2 linked regions of the Arabidopsis thaliana genome follow. The protein of the gene in region 2 interacts with the protein of the main gene of each other region in a pairwise test. Each region holds a gene or a part of one and is shown on either strand. Other genes may lie near its edges.

What was found.
Region 1: the proteins of PYL1 (region 2) and C2 interact in a protein complementation assay, tested with the Arabidopsis thaliana proteins (one study listed by BioGRID).

Annotation. Positions count from the first base shown.
Region 1 is NC_003074.8:6,149,855-6,154,433, reverse strand, and holds C2 (Calcium-dependent lipid-binding (CaLB domain) family protein), read right to left. Parts: upstream 2,373-4,579; 5' UTR 2,163-2,372; intron 2,086-2,162; 5' UTR 2,018-2,085; coding exon 1,871-2,017; intron 1,787-1,870; coding exon 1,691-1,786; intron 1,610-1,690; coding exon 1,319-1,609; 3' UTR 620-1,318; downstream 1-619. Other genes in the region: TOC64-III (translocon at the outer membrane of chloroplasts 64-III), read right to left, coding at 2,640-2,719, 2,795-2,864, 2,966-3,017, 3,104-3,231, 3,333-3,533, 3,677-3,811, 3,916-4,084, 4,164-4,308 and 1 more. UniProt on the Arabidopsis thaliana protein: Mediates the transient calcium-dependent interaction of PYR/PYL/RCAR abscisic acid (ABA) receptors with the plasma membrane and thus regulates ABA sensitivity. Stimulates the GTPase/ATPase activities of YchF1, and regulates its subcellular localization.
Region 2 is NC_003076.8:18,982,997-18,986,840, forward strand, and holds PYL1 (PYR1-like 1), read right to left. Parts: upstream 1,922-3,844; 5' UTR 1,733-1,921; coding exon 1,067-1,732; 3' UTR 544-1,066; downstream 1-543. UniProt on the Arabidopsis thaliana protein: Receptor for abscisic acid (ABA) required for ABA-mediated responses such as stomatal closure and germination inhibition. Inhibits the activity of group-A protein phosphatases type 2C (PP2Cs) when activated by ABA. Can be activated by both (-)-ABA and (+)-ABA.

The sequences.
Region 1 (4,579 bases), on a different chromosome or scaffold from region 2:
CAATTCGCACAACGTCGAATCGGGGAAATGTAATTCAGATAAGGTTTCAGATCTGAGAGCGAAAAGAGTGTGAGAGTGTGATGTTGCCTGCGCGCCCTTTTTTATAGGTGGAAAACGGTGGCGTTACCTTCGACTTCGGCCTTTTTTACAGACTGTAAAATCAAATCAGTCGGTAATTAAACAAATATCTCCATTTTTTTTGTTTTGGTCAAAACCGGTAATAATAATAAGCGTATTTTAGTTAATGTTGTGCTGTCACTCATTTTAAGTTATGGTTTATATATATTTTTAACTACATTTGCAATTGCATTTATATGCAATATATATGTTGACAGATTTTATTCTACAAATAAATCGTTGTTTTGGTAAAAAAATGTTGACTACTTTGGGGAGTTGGTGGAAGAGGAATCTCTAGATCGCTCATTGGGGAACGAGATTTGGGTCCCTTGGGATCTATCAAACTTTATACATAATTTAGAATATATCTCAATACTATCATACTACAGTCGAATCTTTTACTTTATTAAATAGAGAAAAATATCACATACTAGTACTACACTTCACTCTTGTCACGGTCGTTTGACACATTATTGTAAAGTCGCCGTGCCACTCATAGTAAAGGACAATTATGGCTCACGTGTTTTGTCGTTATAAAACCATGGTGCTTCACTCATTAGTGTACATCTGGATTCTCTTCACCTACCATCCCTTTTGTGGCTTCTGGCTTTTTCCCTTCGATATTTTATTCTTTCTTCATCATTATTCTTTATGACCTTAATTAGCGCTAATGTACAAGTAAATCTTGTTCACAAAAATTACATAAGTTGTGCTTCAGTAACGTACACATAAAACCTCCAATGTCAATGGTTTAAAAAAGGCCTATCGATGTCGATGGTAAATGGTAATATGCTGGTCTTTTTTTCACTTTTTACCTATAAACATTAGTACATCACATGTGTTAAAACAATCTACCATTCATAAGTATATGGAACGATAATTAAATAAATAAAATATCTGTATTAGTTGTTCGTGTAAATGCCTTATTTAAGGCATAGCTAGCCCAAATATACATACACATCAACAATACACCACATTTACATATCCACCACCACGACTCGACTTGGACTCGATCACCATATGGGAACAAAACTTCCCTCAACGTTCTTAATCCTTATATTTCCATGGATTAATACGTGTTTCTAGTTCACTATATCCTTCAAGATTGAAATTACTTGTTTTTTTCCATGCTGTTACTTGGTTTAGTTCAATTTGAAAGAAAACAACTCAAAGTAACGGTAAATAAGAAAAGAAAAAAGATTCATAGACCCTTGGAGCCAGGGAGGTCAATCCATTGAAGCTGAGCCTCGACCTCTCCGCATTCCACATGTCGCAATCTGAGAACGAGATCCTGGACGAGCTTGCCGTCGACCCAGGTGACACGTGACTCCTCGGCTAGACAGTTACGACGACTTGGCTTAACCGTGGTCACAATGGTTCCACTAGGAAGTCCATCGAGTTGCATCCTCAAAGCCTCAATATAGGGCTTTATCTCGAACTCAGCATCGCCCATCTTGTCGTCTTTGCTAAACATGTCGTGATCATACACCGTCTACATATAACATTATAGTTTTATCAATATAAACATCTTATGATAAGGAAATTAATGTATGTTTTAGTAAGTAAAAAGTACCAAGAGGACGGTAAGATTGGAGTCTGTGACGGAGAGAGTCAAATCTTCATTCCATTCTGGATTAACATCTTTGTTAATGACACGAGTCTTCAATTTCTGTAAGATTTAATATGATAATTTGAGAATGTTTTTGATGTAATGAAATTGCATGTGAAGTTGTAAAATGATGAATGGATTAACCTGTTTGCCCATCTTGACGACGACGTAAGGATCGCTGCTACTGATGTCACGGACGGCTAAATTGACGCCACGTTTGATACGGATTCTAAGGAGGCCCAAGAGATCGTCCATTAGTGAGCTTGTCCTCGCCGGACACGCCGTTGTCATTTCCTTTATTAATGTTCCTGATTATTTCTTCCTTACTCACTTTCTACAACCCTTTTTTTTTGTTAACGCTGCAACCAACACACGTTTAATTCTCGGGGAAAAGCACAACCGAGATAAAGAAAAAAGGTTAAACGAACCAACTCACCCGTGAAGATAATTCAAAGGTCTCTTTAGTTTCTTTCGTCAGATTTCGTTCCGTTCAAACTATCATCGCTAAATATTAGGGCAGGTCTCTTTGGTTTCTACTCCTCTTTTTTTCTGTTTATTTTTTTTGAGTCGTGGGGAGGAGATAACGTGCGAGAAAAGAAAATGATAAAGACAAGATAGTTAAAGACATGACCTTATTTTTGACGCTACGCTGACTAGAAGTCGACCGGGAATGCCGGTATCCGGTGTTTAAGATTAACATTACTTTTTGATATCCAATTTTAGAGAACGTTTAAAATAAACATCGGATATTATAATTTTCCATTCTCGGCGGACTTGCAAAAGGTATCTCTAGATAAAATGCCTAAATATCAGACGCAAAAGACAAGTGTTGACAAAATTGGCCTATACTCTTGGACAAATTCTAAGGAACAAACGTTTTCTCAATGATCGGTGAGGTACGGACAAAAGAAGCTCACTGGAATTTTCTCAGTCTCTCTGCTGAGAGAGACGCTCGTTTGTTGTTTGGTTCCAGCACAAGTGCGTATCTGAAATCTGCAGAGTTTATGTTATATTCTGCCAGATTCTACAAGGCGAAAAAACAATCAGATTATGTTCTTTAAAGCTTACCTTCTATGGCTCCCTTGCAATCGCCTAACATTTCTCTTGCGGTTCCTCTTCGTAAATAGGCTTTAACATTCTGAAAGAAATCAAAAACGATCTTTGTGTTGTGTGTTCTTACAAAGTAAAGAGTGTTTTTTTTTCAAGAGAAACCTGTTTCTGTGTTTTAATGAAAGTTACCTTCTTGTCGAGGGTGATGGCTTTGGTACAGTCTTCTTCGGCTTGAAGAAAGCTGTATGTAAATGATTTGTCAAGGCAATGCCACATAGAAAGATTTGCTCACTAAAAAGTATTTTTAAGGATCTGAGAAACATTTACCCTCCAAGTTCAAGATATGCAGCAGCTCTGTTACTGTAATAGGTAGCATTGTTGTCACTTAGCTTTATAGCTTCTGAGTATAGACCAATAGCTTTCTGCCATAGTTTCTCTTTGAACGCTTGGTTACCCTGGTTTACATAATCACGGGACACAAAGATATAATAACCACATTAGATTATGGATGATAATGCCATTAAGAAAATGAGACATGCAATGGATATTAATTGACCTTCTCTTTGGCAATCTCGGCTGACTCTTCTTTGGTGATAGCCTTTTTAGAAGATTTGGGATCGGTAACAATACTCGAGTACTCTTGCAAAGATGGATACATTGTCTGCACTGTATCTAGTAAAAAGCGGTCACCACCGTGTCTTCCTATGAAAGAAACTGAAATAGGGCATTTCTCATGATGTCCGAGTGGCACAGTCACCTGAATCATCAGCACGATAAATGTAAGACACATATACTGTGGATTGGTTTTGCTAACACTGACTGGTCAGTGGTTGCTTTTAACATGTGTGAGGGGAACTTTACTAGCATGGCAGGTGAGAGAGAGAAAGAGAGAGATTTAACCTGACAACATCCTGATATGCTAGCAATGCTAAGCAGACTTGAAGCTCGGTTTTGATAGTCTTCAGATGTTATCTCCTTGCTACCAAGTTTTGGAGGAACAGCTGGCAATGTTGGAATTACCAGAATGCCATCATCCTTGATACATAACGTTACAGAGTTGGGAACCATTAGAGATTAGTCAAGAGACATATAAACTAACTCGCTCAAGTTGTGGACATGTCATGGAAGAGCAGGAATACCTTGAGAAGTGAACCAATAGCCACTCGAGTCTCGTTTCTGATAGCATTCAGGTTCTCAGTCTCTTCATTGGTTAGTTCTGGGTTCTCACACACTTGTGATAAAATCACAGGATCAATGGCTGGCTTCACTGTGTTGATCCAATCCCCATGATTTTGAAGGAACTCGTGCCTACAATGCCAATATTGTTATAGAGTGTTCAAAACTAAGATATTTTCATCCTCTGTAGGTGAATAAACAATAGGCACACCTTTGAAGGAGCTGCATCACATTCGCCAGTAGTCTCGATGTTGAGACCTTCGTGTTAGCAATGGCTTTTGTCCTAGCGAACTCTTTCAAGCTAGGAACTTTAGTTTCAAAATAGGTCTCCAAGTTCTGATGCTTTAGCAATTGTCCTAAATATAAAACAAGATAATGCTATTATAATCAGAATTTCTAACAGAGACTGGAGGATCTTCAGGGAGAGTAAAGGGCATACTTCCAAAAAGCTTTTCAGCTGATTTGGTCACCACCTGGGTAATCCGATCCACAGGGATCTTTAACAGCTGAAAACAGTCATCAGCTAGTATGATTTGCCTTGGATTCCGTTGAGTGGCAAATGGAAGTTGCAAGAGTACATGGCCAACACGACGTAGGGTGTTTGGATCGCGGGCAAACCATCCTGAA
Region 2 (3,844 bases):
GGATCATCCAATTCTGGAGTCTCTAATAATCGGGAAAAAGAAATCGAGTACAGTTTATTTTTGTTGGTCAGGCACTTAGCCACTCAGGCTCATCAGACAAAGCGATGACCATAACATAATTATAATTAGGTGTATTGACAAAAAAAAAAAGAAAAAAAAAGGAGGATCATAATTAGATGTAAAAAATGGTGAGCTCTCTCCAAATTTTAAAATGAAAAATAAAAGAGTTCAAATTATAATGGGCTTTTTCGTCGTTCAAAGCCCTTTCCCCTTCAACAGTAATTAGTTTTTGAACGTAATAATGTTACTGGAGCGCGAAAACTTAAGCAAAATTAGCACAAAAATACAAAAATTAAATTTTACAACGAAATTGTAAATAAAAAAATAAAAAAAATTATTGAACAAAAAAAAAACTAATGCAACGGTTTTTTTTTTTAGGTTTTTTTTTTTGTCATTAACGCTAGAAAACAAATAATTTTGCGAATTTACGAATTGCCAAAATTGACTTATAAATACTGCCAATTTTCAGACATTAAGCTTTTATTCGTTTTATTATGAAAAGTTACTACACACAACACTATATTAAAACATACGCTATAAATAAATATGTATCGAAGAACAAAAAAAATATCATTATTTTTCCATCTGACCTAGAAATCTATTCCATGCATATATCATTTCAAATACAAAAATTGAATAAAACAAGAATACTAATAACCTACAAAATAGTACAATCTACACAACAGTTAAAGAAAACTAACTACTATAATTAGTATGTTATCATTCCTGTATAATTTATCTTGTCAACCAATTGAATAAACGAACTACTATAATTAGTATGTTATCATTCCTAATTCTATGATATAACAAGTATGTTATTAAATTTAACCTATCTCGACCATTCCAATTATCCAGGAGACTGATTTTTTTTAAAAAATAAAACATAACCATAAAATCAAACAAGGAAATTACAATTCAAGAGAAGAAAAAAAACGTTTTACAAATCAAAATAAAAATTAAAACTCCCCCAATTTAGAAACATTTTTCTTTCCCCCAAATTTCATCATTACCTAACCTGAGAAGAGTTGTTGTTGTTGTTGTTCCGGTTCATAGCTTCAGTGATCGAAGCAAGTTTCTGAAGATTCAATCTAATAACCGTATCAGCAAACAATCTCGTATCTTCCTCCGAATTACCTTCCGGTACATCAACAACATAAGATTCCAAAACAACGGTCCAGATCCTTTCTTCTTCTTCTTCTTTCTCAAATCTATGAACCGTCGTAACCGATTTATAATTCCTCAGCCTATGTTCACCACCGGTTATACTAAACCCAGTCACTCTCCGATCATCGTCCAACAGATCTAATCTCTCTCGAGACGTATTCGCCGGTAATCCACTTATCACGTTCACGTCGCGCGTGCATCCCACTCGCATCTCGAAATCTTCACTCACGTTACAGCTTTTGATGAAGTGTTTGTAAATCTGTGGCCTATCGAAACGTCTCACCACGGACCATACTGTTTCCGGCGGCGCGTGGATTCGCTGAGCTAGGAGAGATGAGCAACGGCCGTTACCGAGTTGGTACGTGTGGAACTCGGCGATTGATTGGGAGAGTTGGGTGAATTCGTCTTGAGTTAAATCGGAAGGCATGGTTTGGTGATGGAGTGTTGAGATTCTCTGGCTGTTCTCTTCTTCGTTTACTGGTGAGGAGGAGGACTCTGAATTCGCCATTGATATTGTTTGTTGAAACTTGAAAGAGAGAAGTTGAAAATTTGAAGGAAGAAGAAAGAGAAGAAGGGTATATTTGGAATTTAATAGACTTGAGTTTTTTTTAATGGCTATCACATAAATGTCATTAGGCACTGAATCTTTCTACTTTTAGTTGATAATTACTATATTTGTAGACACGTACATCAAAATTAGTAACTATTACAAATTTACGTAATATTTTTGTAGATTCTAAAATAATACTACAAAAAAAATATATATCCGTTCATTATAATAGATGGAATTATTTTGCTGAATTCGAAAAATCTGATTTAATTTAATGAACAATAACACACAGTTTAGTTAGACTTATCATATTATTCATCCATCTATATTCTGATTGAAATGTATAAACTATATAGTTAAAATTATATATATATGATACTAATTAAAAATATCTTGAACGAGTTAAACTATATAGTTAAAATTAGAATAACTCATTTTATCATATTCTTCATGAATTCCTACTATTTTATATTAATCATCACTTTGGTAAATATATTACAAATGAAATTGGTCAACTCGTAATAGAAATGCAATTAAATTATAAAATAAAAAATTATTTACGGGAGTTGAATTATTTTTTTGTTGGCAACCGTAGAAATTTTGATTAGATGCTCAAATATAGAATCATTATTTATTCGAATGCATTTAAAGGTTAGCCATTAGCCTTTGTTCGTGAAGCTATTATAAGCCTATACCTATATTACTTATCTTAATCTATAACTCCCAATTTCTCTCGAAACTAAATAATTGTAAAGATTAAAACAATTTTCAGTTACATAAAAAAAATATACTTGTAAAGATTAAAACATTTTACTTGTACTAGAGAATTTTTATCAAGTGATAATTAAATGTGAGCAACTGAGCATGAAGCCTCCGTGTCATATACTTACTAGTTTTGGCCATGTTTATTTATCTGCAACCGAAATGGGCAAATTACTTTTTTCTCTTATCACCTTGACTTTTGTTTTTTCTATTAAAATTATTTTTAATATTATGGCTGTGAATGGTGACTGCGTTTTGCGGTACGCAAAAAGTGCGGTGCGGTTCAAATAGTAATGAAAATCAGCACTGTTGCGATACGGTTTTAAGTGCGGTTTTGGTCACCATTCACAGCCTATAAATCATTATACTTTTGTCCAAAAAAAAATATAAAAAATCATTACAGTAAATAGTTTATTTTTTGTTACAAAGATATAATTGGGTACGTAAGAAGTAGAATCCAAGAGATACGGTAGGTACAAGTTATAAATCATAAAAAGTAGTCTCCAGCTGTTTTTTTTGGCGTCTTGTAGACATTTAATTTTTATGTCAAGTATATACTTGCACATTGCACTTGTATATCAAATTTGATGATTATAACAATGATTTAGTTAAATATCCAGAGTGTAAAATTATATTGCTAAACACTATACCTAAACGATTTTTCTATAAAATTTTATCATTACGCTAAATTAATTTTTTCAAAATTTTAAATGAAAAGGACAATAGTGCTCTCAAACTGGTATGATTAAATTTTCCTAAAGTTAAAGTTAGAAAATAATTAATATATTTATGAATAGATAGATTGCTATATATATTCTTTAGCATTATAGAGATAATAAAAGTATCAAAAAGTCCATTTGGTGGAATAATATTGATTCTGATCATTGCGAATTTTTTTATTCTAAAAGGCTTGAAAGAATTTTCAAATATAATATTTTCAAGAATCCACTCACCATGTTATAATGGAATGTACATTGATTAAAAAAAAAAAGAGTAGTGGAATATACAGTGAGTGATACATATCTCTACATCCACACATTTGCATTTTTTTGGAGAGTGGTTGCTTTAATAGTCCAGCCTAAAATTTAGTATAACAACAGATTTTTTTTTTATCATTATATAGTAGATTTTGGCTACATTGCTTTGGAGTTTCGATAAGCAGAGCATATATTTCTTTTGTCTTTTTTCAAGAGCATATATATGCTAAAACATAGTTTATGGTTGTCACAAAAAAAAAAAAAATAGTTGATGTCGATTAATATATACTTGTAGTCCCTACTGCTAACTTTTCAGTTTTATTTTAGGTCT